Linked DNA regions of Arabidopsis thaliana. The gene in region 2 interacts genetically with the main gene of each other region. Each region holds a gene or a part of one and is shown on either strand. Other genes may lie near its edges. The genes, in order: THO1, ETR1, CB5-D and CB5-C.

Region 1 (6,598 bases), on a different chromosome or scaffold from region 2:
TACTCCTTCTTCATCTTCCTCCTCCGTCTCCTCGTGAACCCTCCCATTATTAACCCTACCAATCGCCGCCTCCGTAACGTTACCACCGCCGCCAAAATCGCAGTTTCTACACTTGTTAGCCATCGACGTAGCGTAGAGACGCTCGACGATGTTATCTCTCCGACGTTTCAGTTCTTGACCATAGTCAAGAGACGCAACAAGAATCGCCGTATCGATAAATGTCCAAACATCAACACCTGCGTTATCCATAACCGATCGGAAATCATCCAAATCCATTATCACCCACACTCCTCCTTCTTCCCCAAATTTGGTTACTTAATAAAGAATTCAAAACGAAAAACAAAAAACAGAGCAAATCGAATTACGTAACCAGATCTAAAAGATGAATCTTTTGATGAATTTGATTCATCGGAGATTAAAAATCGTGAAGAACCAAACAAAGTTTAGATTTCAAATAGTTTAAAAGATAGACAAATAAAAAAAACAAAAAACAGAAGAATCAGATTGGTAAATTCAGATTAAAAAGGAAGACCCTTTACTGTTACGAGGAAGAAAGAAACAGAGGAGGTCGTCTCACATAAGATCAATAATGAGTAAATGGCAAATTAAAAAAAAAAAAGGGAATGAAGAAGAAAGGGAATATTCCAAATTTGAGGCTTTAGAATTTGGTTTGGAGGGTTATTGCTTTTTCTTTCATTCTTCTGCAAGTTTTTTTTTGTTTGGTCCGTTAATAAAAATAATATTCAGACAGAATCAATTAACAGTTTTAGGACAAAAGTAAAAGAAGAAAATGGGAATTGCTTTATTGAGGGATGATGCTCTTTGCCCTGGACAGAGCAAAGCTAAGCAAGTTGGTTTGTTGTGGTTGGGGAGATGAACAGCTCTAGAGAGAGAGAGAGAGAGATGTGAGTGTTTTTCTTTCAATAATGGCGTTTACTTTTTTTAGTTTTTCTTCAAGTGACGAGAAACATTTTACATGTTTCGACTTTTTTGGTTATTGGGCCTCTAAATTTTTGGCCCTATAGCAAGTGGACCCAATATGTCAAATCAATATTTTCATTTGGTCTCAAAGTGTTTGTTTCATGACTTTCATCTCATGAGCCACTGCCACTCACTAATCGTTTAGTGAATTTACGTCGACGGTACAATCAAAACCCCCAAAGAGAAGATCACATCCGAGTTTTTAGGTGTTGAAGGAGGTGTTCGATCCATCAAAGTTTACTTTGTTAGGAAGTAATGTTTATTTATCACTTGTTGAGTGTAGATTATGAATACAATGTCTTTTATGCAATTATTGGAACCTAATATTTATCTCGAACAATTTCGAGCAATTTTTGAAATCTTCAAATCCTTCTCATGTGAGCTATTATGATTTCTTCTGCAATAACATACCATGAACAATTTCGAGCAATTTTTGAATACAGATGTTTTAAATTTCTAATTGATTTGATTCCACACATTAAAACTACGCCATATCCAACATATACAGGCAAAGGTCTTCTGTAAAACTAAATAATGTGAAGCCCACCACCCAACGGATATCATTTTACTATGAAAGGCCCAATGAACATGTTGTTATTCAGTTTATAAATTAAAAATATTTCGGATCCAGATCCAAGCCCGGATATTTGCGGATAATTTGATTGTTGGGAGGATATCTTCCGGATCCGGATCCACCCTAAATTAAAATTGTTCTTCCTCCACTCTTCTTCAAGTTTGGCCTCCGTTTCCAGATTTTTATTCAATTCTTCTTAATCAACTTTTAAAATCCGGCGACTCATAGTCCGTGAATTTTGACCGGCATATCCGGTTTTGGTGTCGTCGGTAAATTCCTCTTCATTGCAGTGGAAGCTGGTTCATTGAGAAATAATGGTAACTCTTTTGGGATTATGAGACTTGTTTTCTTTTGCTTCTTGTTAAATCTATATAGCTTATAAAAACTTGTTTTCTGCAATTTGTGGTTCTTCGCAGGATGCATTTAGAGATGCTATATTGCAGCGAGCTCCAATTGAAACCTTTGCACTCAAGACTGTTCAACACTTTATACAACCTCAGGTAACTCTTTCGAATCAACTAACAATTTCTTCACTCCTTTAGTCTTACTTATTGTCTTTATTGTAAAATTTGACAGAAACAAACAAAGTTGGCTCAAGATGAAAACCAAATGCTTGAAAACATGCTCCGGACATTGCTGCAGGAGCTAGTGGTCTCTTCTTTCTCCACTATTATATTTTCGTGGTATGCGTATATACTTGTTCATTTATATATGTGTGGATTTCTCTTTCTGTTTTCGGGGTTTCAGGCTGCTGCTGCGCAATCAGGGGAGCAAATTATGCAGTATGGTCAGTTGATTGACGATGATGATGATGATGATGATATACATGGACAGATTCCTCATCTTCTAGGTTAGCAATCTCTCTAGTCTGATTTGCATAGTTCGTTCAAACAAGTGCTAGCGTTGTCCCCGTAAAACTTCTTATTCTCTTGTTGTCTATTGCTTATCATCTTGTCCTCACTACTTTTGTCTAACCTCTCACCATCTTCATGTTTTGATTGCTTTGTTAGATGTTGTGCTTTATCTTTGTGAGAAAGAGCATGTAGAAGGTGGCATGATATTCCAGCTGCTGGAGGATTTGACCGAAATGTCTACTATGAAAAACTGTAAAGATGTTTTCGGTTATATTGAAAGCAAACAAGATATATTGGGCAAGGTATTTCTTAAACGAAATCAAATTTTTTCTCGGTTAGTTGTATCTTGTATTTTGACTTGGATGTTGCAATTATTTGCAGCAAGAGCTTTTTGCACGCGGAAAACTTGTCATGTTGAGGACTTGCAACCAACTTCTCCGCCGACTCTCAAAGGTTCGCTATCTGCACCCTTTTCTAGTTCCCTTTGTCAAATATCCATAAGTCATAATCTACTTTTTCATATATAACACATCCACTCTTTTTTAATTCTTTTTTTTGCTTTCACTATTTGGCATACAGGCCAATGATGTTGTATTCTGTGGAAGGATTCTTATGTTTTTGGCTCACTTTTTTCCGTTATCTGAGCGCTCAGGTAAGAAGGGTTTCTCGTGCATATACGATTATTTGGTATGTGAATGTTTAAAAGGTGTGTAACGTTTACTTGCGTGACTTATTCTTTCAGCCGTCAATATAAAAGGTGTTTTTAATACATCTAATGAAACCAAATATGAAAAAGATCCTCCAAAAGGCAAGTGATTTTTTTTTTTCTTATGCTTTTGGTCCTTATCTCCATATGACAATTCTAAAACGTGTTACTTATTCTGTCTATGTCATTGCTTCTCAGGCATTTCTGTAGATTTCAACTTCTACAAGACATTTTGGAGTTTACAGGTGCGTATTAGTTAAAGGAACTTTGTAGGGAACGAATGTTATGCCTTTATCATAAGGGTTGTCTCATAGAACCTCTGTTTGCATATCATGCAAAATCAACATTACTGGAGATAGCATCTCAAATTTCCTTTTGTTAGTTAGTTTATTGAGATAGTTCTTTTCTTACTGAGAAAATTGTTTCGTTTCCAGGAGTATTTCTGTAATCCCGCTTCTCTTACTTCCGCATCTACCAAGTGGCAGAAATTTTCATCCAGTTTGGCGGTATGTGATCTTTGGTTTTTGACTAAATTGCATTACCTGGTCTTGTATATATGTATATGCATAGAAAATTCATGCTGGCGGTAGTGAGAAATCATCTTAGACCTTGTTTCTTGAACTGCTTATGTAGGTTGTTTTAAACACCTTTGATGCTCAACCACTAAGCGAAGAAGAGGGAGAGGCTAATAGTTTGGAGGAAGAGGCAGCAACTTTTAATATAAAGTACCTAACAAGTAGTAAATTGATGGGTTTAGAGGTAAGTATGCTGTGGTTGGACATGCGCACTTCTGAACTTAGCAGTTCACTCACTTTTTTTTCTACCTTTCGCCACAGTTAAAGGATTCGAGTTTCCGACGACATATTCTTCTCCAGTGCCTCATTATGTTTGATTATCTAAGGGTAAATGTCTCTCAAGAATTATTGCACGGAAATTACTCTCTCTGGTATTCTGGTATAACTGAATCCTGTTTCCGTTTAGGCACCAGGGAAGAACGACAAAGATCTGCCATCTGAAACCATGGTCAGTGTTTTTTCTTGTTTAATGAGAAAATTCCTCTTGCTTTCTTTCAAAGGTTCACAAACCTAGTTATATCTCAGTATTCAGGGTTTTATGCATAATTACTCAAAGGTATTGTTTATCTTTTCGGTCTAGAAGGAAGAACTTAAGTCATGTGAGGATCGTGTAAAGAAATTGCTTGAGATCACTCCGCCTAAAGGGAAAGAATTCCTCCGTGCAGTTGAGCATATACTGGAGCGCGAAAAGAATTGGGTATGTGTGCTGCTTTCTCTCTTACCTGCTGCATGATTTTCTGGCTTGTAGTTGAGGGCCGTTAATGATCTTCTACAATACACAAATAACAGGTCTGGTGGAAACGTGATGGATGTCCACCATTTGAAAAGCAACCGATAGATAAGAAATCACCTAATGCAGGGCAAAAGAAACGGTATGGGGAAAAGCTGACCTTGTAATCTAACTGCTTTGTACTCATAGATGGTGTCCGCCATTCGAATTTAGAATACATTACGTGGAAGAAATTGAGAAGATGTTTTTTCCCTAGTGATCTCTGGTCGCTAGTCCATTAAAGTGAGAAACAACTAATAAATCTGCATTACGAGTATTAGGCTCAATATGGGTTATCTTTTGCTTTTACAGGAGACAAAGATGGAGATTGGGAAATAAAGAACTCTCCCAACTTTGGAGATGGGCAGATCAAAATCCGGTATGCATTATTTTTCTTTGCATCCTTGTTCGTTGTTCATATTATGCCACATGCTTCTCCAGCTCTCCTCTCGGCTCAATCTTCATATTACGACTCTACAATAATTGTATATCTGATGGGATAACAGAATGCTTTGACTGATTCTCAACGCGTGCGAACCCCTGATATTGCAGACTACTGGAAACCATTAGCAGAAGATGTGAGCTAACATACTGTTTTCTTTATTTTTCCCAAAGGACATCTTAAAAAAAATGGTTGATGTCTTATTAGCACACCTGATGTTTTGTTAAAATCTCAGATGGATCCATCAGCTGGCATAGAAGATGAGTACCATCATAAAAACAACAGAGTATATAACTTTCCTCTGATTTACAACTTTTTTTTTTATGATGCTTAATTGAATCAGTCTAAGGCAGATAATTGTTACTGTTTTGATAGGTTTACTGCTGGAAAGGTCTTCGGTTTACAGCTCGGCAAGACCTTGAAGGATTTTCTAGGGTAAAATTTTCTTCGATTTCGATTTCCCAATGCTTCATATGATTGCTTTTTAAAACCTTTTTCTTTCTTTTTCACAGTTTACTGAAATGGGAATCGAAGGAGTTGTCCCAGTTGAACTATTGCCGCCTGAGGTCCGGTCCAAATACCAAGCTAAACCAAACGAAAAAGCCAAACGAGCGAAGAAAGAAGAAACCAAAGGTGGATCTCATGAAACAGAGGGAAACCAGATTGGTGTTTCTAATAGTGAAGCTGAAGCTGAAGGAGGAAGGGGTGATGCAGAGACGATGGAGAGTGATGCTATTGCAGACACTCCTACGCCTGAGGAACAGCAAAGACTCGGTGGTTCTGATACAGAAAACGGTCAAGAGGCCGGTCAAATCGAAGACGGAGAGACAGAAGAAGCTGGTCTGATGGACACTGATCTTGATCATCCTCCTATGCCCGTCTCATGAATACGCTTTCAGTTTGTCGACCCTTTCTTCAATGGGGAATCCTTTGGATATGAAGTTCAAAAGTATTGATGTTTAACAAATTATGTTAAAAGGTATTTTCTAAATATGTTTGTATGAGTGCAAATCTGCTAGCTTATTACCTGTCTTTCCATTTCTATATACTCAACAAAATCATCATACAATTAAGTTCTTTTGCGTAATTTATCGTCTAAGTGTAACACTAGACACATATTCGCAGCTAATAAACATTGGATTCAATTGCAATCCACTAAAAATACACTCAAACAAACAAAAAAATCAAATACTTGAGGAACCAAAAGCTAAAAGTGTTACTATTATAGCTATCAACATAAACTTTATGTTTTGCCATCAATATTTATTTAGAATATAAATGAGTGGTTTTTAAGTCGTGTCACGATTTTTAAAGTCCATAAACACCACCGATCTCCATATAATAATAAGGTTTCATCATATGCCAAATCCAATAATACGTGAAACTATACCAGTTCATTGTAGGCTTATTTGGTTATATTATTACTACCTCCAATCATTGAAAATGTATATACTTTGTTTAGTCGTTATCACTTGTCAATGCATATCAAATCACCTTATAAATTTACCCAAATTCACTATTGAATTGTTGATGCACTGTCACATAAGATCACAGTTGTCTTATAGTCGTCGCACTGTTATGACAAAAAAAGTGTCGACTCATATTGAAACAAAAAAAAGACTAAACAATGTTGGCACAGCGATGCGATAAAGAATCGACCAAGAGACAACCGAGTGATTTGTGTTGTCAACGACAAA
Region 2 (5,944 bases):
AAAAATTGGGAATTGGAGAGATGAAACAGTGAAGAACACAGATTCGATAGAGAAGAGAGACTAACCTTGTGGGAAGAAATGAAGAAGAAGAGTAATCCAAAGAAGGATTTAGGATTTTAGGGAGAAAGAAGAGGACAAAGAAGGAGAATTATGGGATTAGAAGTGAAAATTGTAACCACAAGAGTTACTTGTGGACCAGTGTGAGCCAACCATGTCCTAAGTTTTCTTTCTATTTCGATTCTCTGGTCATTATAGTATTGGCCCCACTCTTTCCCTTAATATCAATTTGGTTCAATCCATATATTTTGGTATTGCGATTTTTATTCTTATTTTAAATTGAAGGACCAACACTTATATATAAAGAATATACACCAATCTATTTATTATTAATTAGATTTAATTTGGAAATCCATAAAATTTAATACAGTAAAATCTCTATAAATTAATAATGTTGAGACCACAAAATTCTATTAATTTATAAAGGTATTAATTTATCGATAAATTAATATTTATTAATTTACAGAGAGATTTTCCAAAAGTGGTAATTTTTTTTTTAATTTCTATAAAAATTTAAGATTCATTCCATTATCTAAAATATATTTTTAGAACCAATTACAAATAGAAATAATTATCATGTCTAGAAAACAACAAGAAAAGTTTTTGATAGAGTAAAAATATTAAAATGAAATAAAAAAAAACTTATACAAATTTAAGTAAAAAAAAAACAATATTAAAATTATATTTCTCTGTAATTTATGATATTAATGGGACCCTATGTTTATATAAGATTTTCAAAAAAACTATTATCTTATTAATTTATCGATTTGTATCACTTTTTACAGTGGTTCCAACTCGGGACCGAAAAAATTTATTAATTTATAGAGATTATTAATTTATCGAGTATTAATTTATAGAGGTTTTACTGTATGTATCAAAATTTCGTGTGTTGAGATTTAATACTGATCTTAAAATGAGATTCAGTTCGAGATAGGCTGATTAGAGCCATCATCTTGAAGGTATATATTAAGATTCCATATTGTAAGTTTGAAGTAATCAACACTAGTATATATGAGACATAAACGTTGGTTGAGAATTGAATCGATGAAATTTAGTTTTGTTTGGATTTTGATTTGACTGGTTAAGGTCTTATGTACATTTTTCGGAGGATTGATTTCAAAAAAAACTAATGTAATAATTTTATATAATTGCTTAATATACTTTTGGTTTAGGATCAAATTTCTGGTTAACTCTGATTTAGTTTTGAGGTACTGAAAACCTATATTATGTCAATTTGGAGATATATTACAGTTAACCAGATATAACATTAGTAGTTTGATATATCTCCAAGTTGACATAATATAGCTTTTATTCACATGAACATATTTGTTTGATTCAACTTGTTTTACTTCTCTTACAACTATATAATGTTTTATACAAACGATTATTTACATAAGATTACACTTAAAACTCATAATTTTATATTGGCTAAACATATATATTGCTTAATCTCCAAATGACATTATCATTCTCCTTTTTTGAAATCATACGAATCAATGTAAGGTGAAAGTTAGTGAAAACAATATTTTGCATTTTTTGGTGAAACCATAAAGATAGTATTTGTTGATAAATATGGGGATATTTATCCTATATTATCTGTATTTTTCTTACCATTTTTACTCTATTCCTTTATCTACATTACGTCATTACACTATCATAAGATATTTGAATGAACAAATTCATGCACCCACCAGCTATATTACCCTTTTTTATTAAAAAAAAACATCTGATAATAATAACAAAAAAATTAGAGAAATGACGTCGAAAAAAAAAGTAAGAACGAAGAAGAAGTGTTAAACCCAACCAATTTTGACTTGAAAAAAAGCTTCAACGCTCCCCTTTTCTCCTTCTCCGTCGCTCTCCGCCGCGTCCCAAATCCCCAATTCCTCCTCTTCTCCGATCAATTCTTCCCAAGTAAGCTTCTTCTTCCTCGATTCTCTCCTCAGATTGTTTCGTGACTTCTTTATATATATTCTTCACTTCCACAGTTTTCTTCTGTTGTTGTCGTCGATCTCAAATCATAGAGATTGATTAACCTAATTGGTCTTTATCTAGTGTAATGCATCGTTATTAGGAACTTTAAATTAAGATTTAATCGTTAATTTCATGATTCGGATTCGAATTTTACTGTTCTCGAGACTGAAATATGCAACCTATTTTTTCGTAATCGTTGTGATCGAATTCGATTCTTCAGAATTTATAGCAATTTTGATGCTCATGATCTGTCTACGCTACGTTCTCGTCGTAAATCGAAGTTGATAATGCTATGTGTTTGTTACACAGGTGTGTGTATGTGTGAGAGAGGAACTATAGTGTAAAAAATTCATAATGGAAGTCTGCAATTGTATTGAACCGCAATGGCCAGCGGATGAATTGTTAATGAAATACCAATACATCTCCGATTTCTTCATTGCGATTGCGTATTTTTCGATTCCTCTTGAGTTGATTTACTTTGTGAAGAAATCAGCCGTGTTTCCGTATAGATGGGTACTTGTTCAGTTTGGTGCTTTTATCGTTCTTTGTGGAGCAACTCATCTTATTAACTTATGGACTTTCACTACGCATTCGAGAACCGTGGCGCTTGTGATGACTACCGCGAAGGTGTTAACCGCTGTTGTCTCGTGTGCTACTGCGTTGATGCTTGTTCATATTATTCCTGATCTTTTGAGTGTTAAGACTCGGGAGCTTTTCTTGAAAAATAAAGCTGCTGAGCTCGATAGAGAAATGGGATTGATTCGAACTCAGGAAGAAACCGGAAGGCATGTGAGAATGTTGACTCATGAGATTAGAAGCACTTTAGATAGACATACTATTTTAAAGACTACACTTGTTGAGCTTGGTAGGACATTAGCTTTGGAGGAGTGTGCATTGTGGATGCCTACTAGAACTGGGTTAGAGCTACAGCTTTCTTATACACTTCGTCATCAACATCCCGTGGAGTATACGGTTCCTATTCAATTACCGGTGATTAACCAAGTGTTTGGTACTAGTAGGGCTGTAAAAATATCTCCTAATTCTCCTGTGGCTAGGTTGAGACCTGTTTCTGGGAAATATATGCTAGGGGAGGTGGTCGCTGTGAGGGTTCCGCTTCTCCACCTTTCTAATTTTCAGATTAATGACTGGCCTGAGCTTTCAACAAAGAGATATGCTTTGATGGTTTTGATGCTTCCTTCAGATAGTGCAAGGCAATGGCATGTCCATGAGTTGGAACTCGTTGAAGTCGTCGCTGATCAGGTTTTACATTGCTGAGAATTTCTCTTCTTTGCTATGTTCATGATCTTGTCTATAACTTTTCTTCTCTTATTATAGGTGGCTGTAGCTCTCTCACATGCTGCGATCCTAGAAGAGTCGATGCGAGCTAGGGACCTTCTCATGGAGCAGAATGTTGCTCTTGATCTAGCTAGACGAGAAGCAGAAACAGCAATCCGTGCCCGCAATGATTTCCTAGCGGTTATGAACCATGAAATGCGAACACCGATGCATGCGATTATTGCACTCTCTTCCTTACTCCAAGAAACGGAACTAACCCCTGAACAAAGACTGATGGTGGAAACAATACTTAAAAGTAGTAACCTTTTGGCAACTTTGATGAATGATGTCTTAGATCTTTCAAGGTTAGAAGATGGAAGTCTTCAACTTGAACTTGGGACATTCAATCTTCATACATTATTTAGAGAGGTAACTTTTGAACAGCTCTATGTTTCATAAGTTTATACTATTTGTGTACTTGATTGTCATATTGAATCTTGTTGCAGGTCCTCAATCTGATAAAGCCTATAGCGGTTGTTAAGAAATTACCCATCACACTAAATCTTGCACCAGATTTGCCAGAATTTGTTGTTGGGGATGAGAAACGGCTAATGCAGATAATATTAAATATAGTTGGTAATGCTGTGAAATTCTCCAAACAAGGTAGTATCTCCGTAACCGCTCTTGTCACCAAGTCAGACACACGAGCTGCTGACTTTTTTGTCGTGCCAACTGGGAGTCATTTCTACTTGAGAGTGAAGGTTATTATCTTGTATCTTGGGATCTTATACCATAGCTGAAAGTATTTCTTAGGTCTTAATTTTGATGATTATTCAAATATAGGTAAAAGACTCTGGAGCAGGAATAAATCCTCAAGACATTCCAAAGATTTTCACTAAATTTGCTCAAACACAATCTTTAGCGACGAGAAGCTCGGGTGGTAGTGGGCTTGGCCTCGCCATCTCCAAGAGGTTTGAGCCTTATTAAAAGACGTTTTTTTCCAACTTTTTCTTGTCTTCTGTGTTGTTAAAAGTTTACTCATAAGCGTTTAATATGACAAGGTTTGTGAATCTGATGGAGGGTAACATTTGGATTGAGAGCGATGGTCTTGGAAAAGGATGCACGGCTATCTTTGATGTTAAACTTGGGATCTCAGAACGTTCAAACGAATCTAAACAGTCGGGCATACCGAAAGTTCCAGCCATTCCCCGACATTCAAATTTCACTGGACTTAAGGTTCTTGTCATGGATGAGAACGGGTTAGTATAAGCTTCTCACCTTTCTCTTTGCAAAATCTCTCGCCTTACTTCTTGCAAATGCAGATATTGGCGTTTAGAAAAAACGCAAATTTAATCTTATGAGAAACCGATGATTATTTTGGTTGCAGGGTAAGTAGAATGGTGACGAAGGGACTTCTTGTACACCTTGGGTGCGAAGTGACCACGGTGAGTTCAAACGAGGAGTGTCTCCGAGTTGTGTCCCATGAGCACAAAGTGGTCTTCATGGACGTGTGCATGCCCGGGGTCGAAAACTACCAAATCGCTCTCCGTATTCACGAGAAATTCACAAAACAACGCCACCAACGGCCACTACTTGTGGCACTCAGTGGTAACACTGACAAATCCACAAAAGAGAAATGCATGAGCTTTGGTCTAGACGGTGTGTTGCTCAAACCCGTATCACTAGACAACATAAGAGATGTTCTGTCTGATCTTCTCGAGCCCCGGGTACTGTACGAGGGCATGTAAAGGCGATGGATGCCCCATGCCCCAGAGGAGTAATTCCGCTCCCGCCTTCTTCTCCCGTAAAACATCGGAAGCTGATGTTCTCTGGTTTAATTGTGTACATATCAGAGATTGTCGGAGCGTTTTGGATGATATCTTAAAACAGAAAGGGAATAACAAAATAGAAACTCTAAACCGGTATGTGTCCGTGGCGATTTCGGTTATAGAGGAACAAGATGGTGGTGGTATAATCATACCATTTCAGATTACATGTTTGACTAATGTTGTATCCTTATATATGTAGTTACATTCTTATAAGAATTTGGATCGAGTTATGGATGCTTGTTGCGTGCATGTATGACATTGATGCAGTATTATGGCGTCAGCTTTGCGCCGCTTAGTAGAACAACAACAATGGCGTTACTTAGTTTCTCAATCAACCCGATCTCCAAAACTCATCCATGGCTTCTTCTCCTTCTCCTCCAAAACTAATCCAAATCCAAACAAACAACAACAAATCCTCATCGACTACATCTCCAAATCCCTCCAATCCAACGATACCTGGGAAACTCTCTCCACCAAATTCTCCTCCATAGATCTATCAGATTCCTTAATCGAAACAATCCTTCTCCGATTCAAAAACCCCGAAACCGCCAAACAAGCTTTATCCTTCTTCCATTGGTCATCCCACACTCGAAATCTCCGTCACGGAATCAAATCTTACGCATTGACGATTCATATCCTTGTCAAAGCTCGATTACTAATCGACGCTCGAGCTTTAATTGAATCGTCTCTGTTAAATTCTCCTCCCGATTCGGATTTAGTCGATTCGTTGTTAGATACTTATGAGATCTCATCTTCTACTCCTTTAGTGTTTGATTTGTTAGTTCAATGTTACGCTAAGATTAGGTATT
Region 3 (3,372 bases), on a different chromosome or scaffold from region 2:
GTGATGAAACTGTGAAATCTTATCTCGAACCCAATCATTGTTCTATGTTTTTCTTTAATCTCTAAAAGTGAAAAAGTGAATGCATGAAACGTTCAGATACATTCATTATATTATACATTTATACATATGGACATGGTGTACGTATGTACACGGGTGCTTGTTTGATCACGGGCTCACTGACTATAAAAATCATGTTTTTTGGGACATATAGATTCGCTTACATCAACTGTGTGACCAATGGGGTATCTGAATTCAGCTTGTTCGATGTTTTGTTTGACTCTTTTAAACTATTTGGTAGTAAAAAGCCAAAAAGGAAGAGCACTGATTACGAAAGCCTTTTTGTCTTTTTGTTTCTTCTTCTCTAGCTCTCTTTCGTTCTCCTTTTGGGTTAGTCCTTCAAAATAAATGTCTTTAACTTGTCATGTATAGTTTCTTTCTCTCGTTGAACACCAACCATAGGCCTTGCAATGTGAGTCAAAACATGCATTGAAAAAAGAAGTGAATTTCAACATTAAATGCTCTCGTTTAACATGCCTATGGTTCCATTAAGCAAAGTACACACTCTATATATGTCGAAAGAACTATACAGTCGGTGTTTTAGCCCTATAGTTAGATACATTCGAACTGATTACAGAAATATCAAATATCCAGTTCTAAGATCGGATTAAGGCAAATACATTTAAACTACTTCTAGCGAATGAGGTTCACATAGAAAAACTTTTTAAAATGAATCACTAAACAAGATTCATTTTCTTTCTAAATAGTGTAAAGACGAGTGATGCATGCAACTGCTCTCCTTTCCGTTGGTCCCTTGTCAAAATATACGACCGTGAATAATTCTTCCCATCATATTTATCTGTCGGAGAGTTCCAACCTCAAAACATTCTCCTTCTCTTATCAATTCTTTCTAAAATCATAAACCAACAAACTGGGCCTATGATCAATTATTCATATTCAATTTAGCCTATAACTAAAACCACACTGCTTTCGTTACACTGGCCTTCCGACAAGTCTCTTTGACTGTTTTTATCTTAAGCGCCATCAAGTTTTAAAGAAGACAACCCCATATCTTTCCTCCCATGAATCATCGTGTCCATATTGCTATAGTTCATGAAAAAACTAAATACTATCGACAACTGAAGAAAAGATCCGGATCTTGTGGACCGAGTGAATGGTTGGGCCCAATTAGAATGGTCTACCCTAACATCTAGCCGTCTACACGATTGATCATACGTCTAAGAGGGCGAAACCACCAAACGTTTGGATTTTATCTAAATTGATGTACATAAAGCTAACATGATTTTAGTATAAACATTATAAGCATCATGGAAATCAATAAGCTAACATGATTTTAGTAGAAACATTATCAGCTAACATGAATTACTAAAAACATTTATTTTATTTTAAGGAAAAACATACAATACTAAGATTTTTTATAACATTTTTTCTTTGTAACATTATAAATTGTTTTAGTTTCTACATTAATTAAATATATAAAATAAATTCATTTAAATAATATAAGAAAACGGAATCTTTGATTAACTGCTGATTATTGGCCACTGATTAATTTCCGACCCCATCAATAGATGAGATCAGACATACACAACTTAAGTAGACCAAAAAAGCGGTTGGTGTAAGATCCCAAACTCACAGATTCCCAAATAATAGTAATACTCTTCCTCTTCTCAACTCTCACCAGTCACCAGCAGATCATCGGAGATGGGCGGAGACGGAAAAGTTTTCACCTTGTCCGAGGTTTCTCAGCACAGTAGCGCCAAGGATTGTTGGATCGTCATCGACGGCAAGGTCCTACATCTCCGATCCCAGTTTCTCATTCGATTTTCCGTTTTCCCTTAGATTTTGCATCTTATCTTCGTGAGATCCGAAATTCTTGAGTTGTGTTGACTTGGATTTATAAATCTAGAGTTATGTAGTAACAAGTTTGGGGATAGATCTGATCTGATTTGCTAGATTAATGTTACTTTTCTAAGTCTAAATCACAGAGAAATTGCTAAAAACTTACGTCTTTATAATTGAATGTGATAGTTGGTGCTGCTTAAGATGTCTCTGTGTGATCTTGTATCTGTAGTTAAAGCTAGTAAGGTTCATGTAGTTCATGTATGTTCTGATGTATGAACTTTTGATAACCCACTTAATCTAGGTCTCTGATTGTGTGGAATTAGGGACTTATATGACAAAGTTTACATTTTTTGTGTGTTTCATTTTGATGGTTATATATAGGTTTATGATGTGACAAAGTTCTTGGATGATCATCCTGGTGGTGATGAGGTTATCTTGACTTCTACAGGTAACATATAGAGATCACTTTCTCTGTTTGTTAGTTCATGTTTATGTTAACAAGAATGTGTTGTTGGTATTCAGGGAAAGATGCGACCGATGATTTCGAGGATGTGGGACATAGTTCGACTGCGAAAGCCATGCTAGATGAGTACTATGTGGGTGATATTGACACAGCTACTGTGCCGGTTAAAGCTAAGTTTGTGCCTCCTACGTCGACGAAAGCCGTGGCTACTCAGGATAAGAGCTCGGATTTTGTTATTAAGCTCCTTCAGTTCCTTGTTCCACTTCTAATCTTAGGCTTGGCTTTCGGCATTCGGTACTACACTAAGACCAAGGCTCCTTCTTCTTGAAAGATTGAATTGTGGCCTAAGTGAATTGCTTGTGTACGACGTGGTTAAACTCTGTCTCTACCTCTGTTTGTCTTGTAAGACATCATTATATTCTCTATTCCAATCAACTGATAGACCTTTGATTTTTAAGCCATCTACCTTTGTTGTCTTATATCAATCAAATCCATTTACAATATCACTCACACACCAGTCTCAAGTCTCACTTAAAAAGCAGCAACAGGTAAGAGAAAATGATAAACACTGAGCTAATCTGTGCTTGCGCAAGTTCTCTCCATCAGTACCTTTGAATCTGTTCTGAAAGACTGCTTTGATGGAGAGCTTGATCCTCTTGAAGAGCTATGCCCAAAGAAGCTAAGTTTCCCCATTTTCTTTGAGAAACTGCTCATGAATTTGCGCGAATGAGACCTCTGCATATCTCTCTTCATACATATATGTTCTTTCTCTAGGTCGTTGAGTCTCATTCTCAACCTAGCTAACTCGAGCTTCAGTTCTCGGTTTTCTCTCCTCAGAGACGCATAGTTGTCTTTGGGGGACATTGTTGCACTGAGAGCTCCGCTATTGATTCTCCATGACTGCTGTTGTTGCTGCTTTGGCTTTGGCTCTTCGTCTGAGTAAGAAGAGCACAAGGAGCTTCGAAGCTTGAGTTGCTCAAAGTAGAGAACTTGAACTATGGATTGCAGAGGAAGCCGCTCGTTTTGTGCAGCGTGTGCTCCAGCTTCTT
Region 4 (3,799 bases), on a different chromosome or scaffold from region 2:
TAAGTTTTATGATCATCATGAAGATGTCGGGGTACGTATTCTAATCAGTTCTATTGAGTACATTTTTATGATCCTCGGGTTGATTTACCAATAGAGAAGATTATATAGACATATGACATGCATATGCTTCAATTGTTCGTGTGCGTTTACGTTGATTTGATTAGTATATTCAAATGAATCCAAAATTTTAAAATCTTTAAACTAGTTTAATTGTTATTGTAGAAATAAGTTAACTAAAATGGAAGGATTATACGTTCACTAATCTACAAAAATTTGGGTTTTCTTTCAAAATATGACTTTAAAGACATATAAATGCAGAAATTGCATTTGAGTCAATCGAGATCGTCATTTTTTTTTCTGTCGACAATTAAGGCCATTATACGCAAAGAAATAAGTACATAAAATAAGTACATAAAATTATATCTTCTTGACTCTTGATATTGAATTTCTTGAGATCTTTCGTATTAGAATCTGTACGTACAGGCCGATACTGATCACTTTGGCTCGATCAAAACCGCTGAAACGCCAGCTGTCACGGCGGCAGCCGAGGCCGAGATAGAGCCACAGAAGAAGAGGACAACACTTGCGGAGCTTTTCATGGAGGACCACGACAAAGGTTATGACACGTGGCATTGCAAGAAACCCAATAACCCTAATCTTGACGGTGAGGAGGTTAAGTACTATAAACAAAACGGTTCAAAACTAAGCAAGAGGTTCTCGTTTGTTAAGAAGAAGCTGGTCATGTCAAAGTCCAAAGAGGAAGAAAACGACTTACGTCCAATCAAGAAAATGCGTCAGGTATTTAAATTTGTTTTAGTCAATTCCGTAACTATGAAACATTGATGATGATGGATATATGAACATGTTACATGTGCCTCTATAGCTCAAGGGAAACAATGTCACGTCAAGATCTAGATAATTATTCGTGCATGTTACAATTACATCACTTTTGTTGCTTCATAAGTGTACTCATATGTGAGTAAATATTCATTCGATGTCAACAAGTATAGCATCATTATATATGTGTATATATTACTGTAGATGATAAAGAGGATGTTGAAGAAGAAGATCCATCCAGATGTCGATGCAACTAAGGCTTTAAAGAAGGACGTTCCATACAAGCCAACTCGGAACTGTGAAGCTCTCGAGTCACATTATCTTCTTAAAATTCAAGGTTTGTATTTCTTAATTATTTTGGTTTAGGGGTTCGATATGATTTATTTCTTTCATTTGCTCGTATATATATGCTTTGTGGACAGATTGCGTGGCCTAGAAGTCTAAGAACGACGACATCGTACAAGAGCAATCTCTGGATCTATTGTTCTACTCCCTATAATATATGTGATTTTTTTGTTCTTATTTCAGAATGTGTTGGTATTGTTATGACTGTTGAGATGTATTGCTTTCTTCTTACAAACATTACTAAGTTGTTAGTATTTGTTCCTGTTATGCATATTGTATTTTATTACTATGTCATATGTTTTCTTATTTATACGTATATCAATGCATCGTTCTAAAATCGTGGATTGTCGTGAATCTGTGATAGTATTCCATCATGTCTGCTATAGCTTGGTCAGTTTTGAAGAAATTTCAAACCTAAAGTCATAAACTGATAAAGGACTAAATTATCCTACTCAAAACAGAAAGCCCTTTTGTGCGTTATTGGGCCTAATCAGAAAAGTGATTTTGAAAAAGGGCCTAATCAGAAAAGTGATTTTGAGGCTTTTTAAAAGTTTAAAGTAAACAAAAGAAAATTGAGGCTTGACTTTTCTTTCTTTTTTTGACTTGTTTTCTTTTTTCCTTTTTCTTATAAGAGAAAACTAAAACGTGAAAGAGCTTCACCAACCTGAGGTCGCTGACCACTTGGAGGCATTCTCAGCTACCAATCCATTAACTTACAAACTCCATATTCTTCACGTTTTACTATGGTAGGTACCTTTTTTTAACCTTGTTCGTAATAACAATTTTATACGAAAAGAATAGTATTAAACTTCAACAAAAACAACTATGTATATTAACTGGTCAGATATACATTGCTTTGTTCCCTTACATCTTCAAAGAGCTAAGATTAAACTATTTACCCCAAATAAGACTGTAATTTCATCAAAATCTAGTAATAATAATATTCAACAGCTTACAATATAAACATAACGCGTGTGGTCTCCATAAGCTACGCACTGTCTTTTCATCGGTTCGTAGAAACTAGAAACTCTTCCCCTCACGATCTTGCTTTCTTTATTTTGCTTCAACCCTAGTTTATTTGAAGTCTCTATATAAAGTTCTCTGTTTCAAGTTACTTTCTCAGCACGAGCAACCAAAAGTAATCATATGGCGAATCTAATTTCGTTTCACGATGTGGCTAAACATAAGTGCAAGAACGATTGTTGGATTCTCATCCATGGAAAGGTCCATATTTCTACTTTCTTTAAATCACGTAAACAAATTTATAGATTATAAATGCTCTGTTTTTTTAGCTTTATACTTGTTTCTAAACACATGTTTATCCACAGGTCTATGACATCAGCACTTTCATGGACGAACATCCCGGAGGTGACAATGTTCTCCTCGCCGTCACCGGTACGTACGAGTACGAGTTGGTTTATTCCGGTTTAGTTTGAATTTATCGGTTTGTAATTTTGTGAGTTTTTATGAAAATTTAAAGGGAAAGACGCGTCGATCGATTTCGAAGATGTGAACCATAGCAAAGATGCCAAGGAGCTAATGAAGAAATACTGTATCGGTGACGTTGACCAGTCAACGGTTCCGGTGACGCAACAGTATATTCCGCCGTGGGAGAAGGAATCTACGGCGGCGGAAACAACTAAAGAAGAATCTGGAAAGAAGCTGCTTATCTACTTAATTCCTCTCTTGATACTCGGCGTTGCTTTCGCTCTCAGATTCTACAACAACAAGTAGACCAAATTATGATGAACAGATTGATAAGAGTTTCTTACTGTTCTTGGTTTTCGTTTGTTGGTAATAACGGGCTTCTTATGTGAAGATTTGGGCCATTTGGCCCATCGCTCAGAATTGGACTATAATGTCTTATTTATTTTATGTTAATGGGCCGTATCAGTAGGCCCTTTGTTGATATATGCCAATCCCAATTTCTTCTAGCATGAGCTTTGTGTTATTTACTTGATTTTGATAAAACAACCAACTTATGCAGTAGATTCCATTTGACGAAAAAAAATAAAAATAAAAATGCAGTAGATTCCATTAAATTCGTACTTAATAATAAAAATGGGTGAGGGCATACTTACAAAGAAGGAATGTGTGTCAGTGTGTGTCAAAAATATGACACAGACACAGAATTATTTTTAGCAAAAACGTTCCACATAATTTCAACCTTTATACTGTCGGTTATTTTTTGCCACTTTAAAGACACAGAATTCAATGTGTCATAAAAAAGGACACAAAGAAATGAAGAATGTTGGTTTTTAATTTACTAATTCGAGAGGGGATTTATTAATCAAATTTCGAAATGTAATGTTAGTATTTCTATATTATATTACTAGAAGACGATTAAAAATATGAGAATATTTTTCTTAAGTAAAGTTTTTTTTTCTTTTTTAAACCGTGTAATGTTAATTGTTTGGTAAAACAAACCAAACATTCGTGTTTCTATGCAACTTATTAAACAAGTGATTGTTATTATATATAATAAAAAAAAACGTTTCCGGAGTGATAGTAGACTTGCAAAGATCGTTCACCAGAATCTTGGAAACTAAATTTTATAGTTTAATATCCTGTTGCGTTTTTTTTTTTTTTTTTAATTTATCCTGTTGCAGTCTTGATC

Evidence for each region.
Region 1: of ETR1 (region 2) and THO1, changing one suppresses a phenotype caused by changing the other (phenotypic suppression), as found in Arabidopsis thaliana (one study listed by BioGRID).
Region 3: of ETR1 (region 2) and CB5-D, changing one suppresses a phenotype caused by changing the other (phenotypic suppression), as found in Arabidopsis thaliana (one study listed by BioGRID).
Region 4: of ETR1 (region 2) and CB5-C, changing one suppresses a phenotype caused by changing the other (phenotypic suppression), as found in Arabidopsis thaliana (one study listed by BioGRID).

The regions. Positions count from the first base shown.
Region 1 is NC_003076.8:3,064,946-3,071,543, forward strand, and holds THO1 (nuclear matrix protein-like protein), read left to right. Parts: upstream 1-1,632; 5' UTR 1,633-1,869; coding exon 1,870-1,872; intron 1,873-1,971; coding exon 1,972-2,055; intron 2,056-2,131; coding exon 2,132-2,206; intron 2,207-2,302; coding exon 2,303-2,405; intron 2,406-2,565; coding exon 2,566-2,711; intron 2,712-2,790; coding exon 2,791-2,862; intron 2,863-2,988; coding exon 2,989-3,061; intron 3,062-3,151; coding exon 3,152-3,217; intron 3,218-3,313; coding exon 3,314-3,360; intron 3,361-3,549; coding exon 3,550-3,621; intron 3,622-3,748; coding exon 3,749-3,874; intron 3,875-3,951; coding exon 3,952-4,017; intron 4,018-4,096; coding exon 4,097-4,138; intron 4,139-4,270; coding exon 4,271-4,387; intron 4,388-4,479; coding exon 4,480-4,562; intron 4,563-4,771; coding exon 4,772-4,838; intron 4,839-4,965; coding exon 4,966-5,037; intron 5,038-5,136; coding exon 5,137-5,187; intron 5,188-5,276; coding exon 5,277-5,336; intron 5,337-5,413; and 3 more. Other genes in the region: AT5G09850 (Transcription elongation factor (TFIIS) family protein), read right to left, coding at 1-276. UniProt on the Arabidopsis thaliana protein: Acts as a component of the THO subcomplex of the TREX complex which is thought to couple mRNA transcription, processing and nuclear export. Contributes to the integrity of the endogenous trans-acting small interfering RNA (ta-siRNA) pathway.
Region 2 is NC_003070.9:24,732,313-24,738,256, forward strand, and holds ETR1 (Signal transduction histidine kinase, hybrid-type, ethylene sensor), read left to right. Parts: upstream 1-1,849; 5' UTR 1,850-1,971; intron 1,972-2,340; 5' UTR 2,341-2,385; coding exon 2,386-3,291; intron 3,292-3,366; coding exon 3,367-3,735; intron 3,736-3,812; coding exon 3,813-4,067; intron 4,068-4,149; coding exon 4,150-4,277; intron 4,278-4,367; coding exon 4,368-4,565; intron 4,566-4,693; coding exon 4,694-5,054; 3' UTR 5,055-5,406; downstream 5,407-5,944. Other genes in the region: AT1G66345 (Pentatricopeptide repeat (PPR) superfamily protein), read left to right, coding at 5,407-5,944. UniProt on the Arabidopsis thaliana protein: Ethylene receptor related to bacterial two-component regulators. Acts as a redundant negative regulator of ethylene signaling.
Region 3 is NC_003076.8:19,788,528-19,791,899, reverse strand, and holds CB5-D (cytochrome B5), read left to right. Parts: upstream 1-1,527; 5' UTR 1,528-1,719; coding exon 1,720-1,806; exon of another isoform or gene 1,807-2,241; coding exon 2,242-2,308; intron 2,309-2,382; coding exon 2,383-2,651; 3' UTR 2,652-2,833; downstream 2,834-3,372. Other genes in the region: AT5G48800 (Phototropic-responsive NPH3 family protein), read right to left, coding at 2,897-3,372. UniProt on the Arabidopsis thaliana protein: Membrane bound hemoprotein which function as an electron carrier for several membrane bound oxygenases, including fatty acid desaturases.
Region 4 is NC_003071.7:19,149,479-19,153,277, forward strand, and holds CB5-C (cytochrome B5), read left to right. Parts: upstream 1-2,002; 5' UTR 2,003-2,328; coding exon 2,329-2,406; intron 2,407-2,510; coding exon 2,511-2,577; intron 2,578-2,662; coding exon 2,663-2,916; 3' UTR 2,917-3,261; downstream 3,262-3,799. Other genes in the region: AT2G46640 (NAD-dependent protein deacetylase HST1-like protein), read left to right, coding at 1-31, 469-798, 1,042-1,203. UniProt on the Arabidopsis thaliana protein: Membrane bound hemoprotein which function as an electron carrier for several membrane bound oxygenases, including fatty acid desaturases.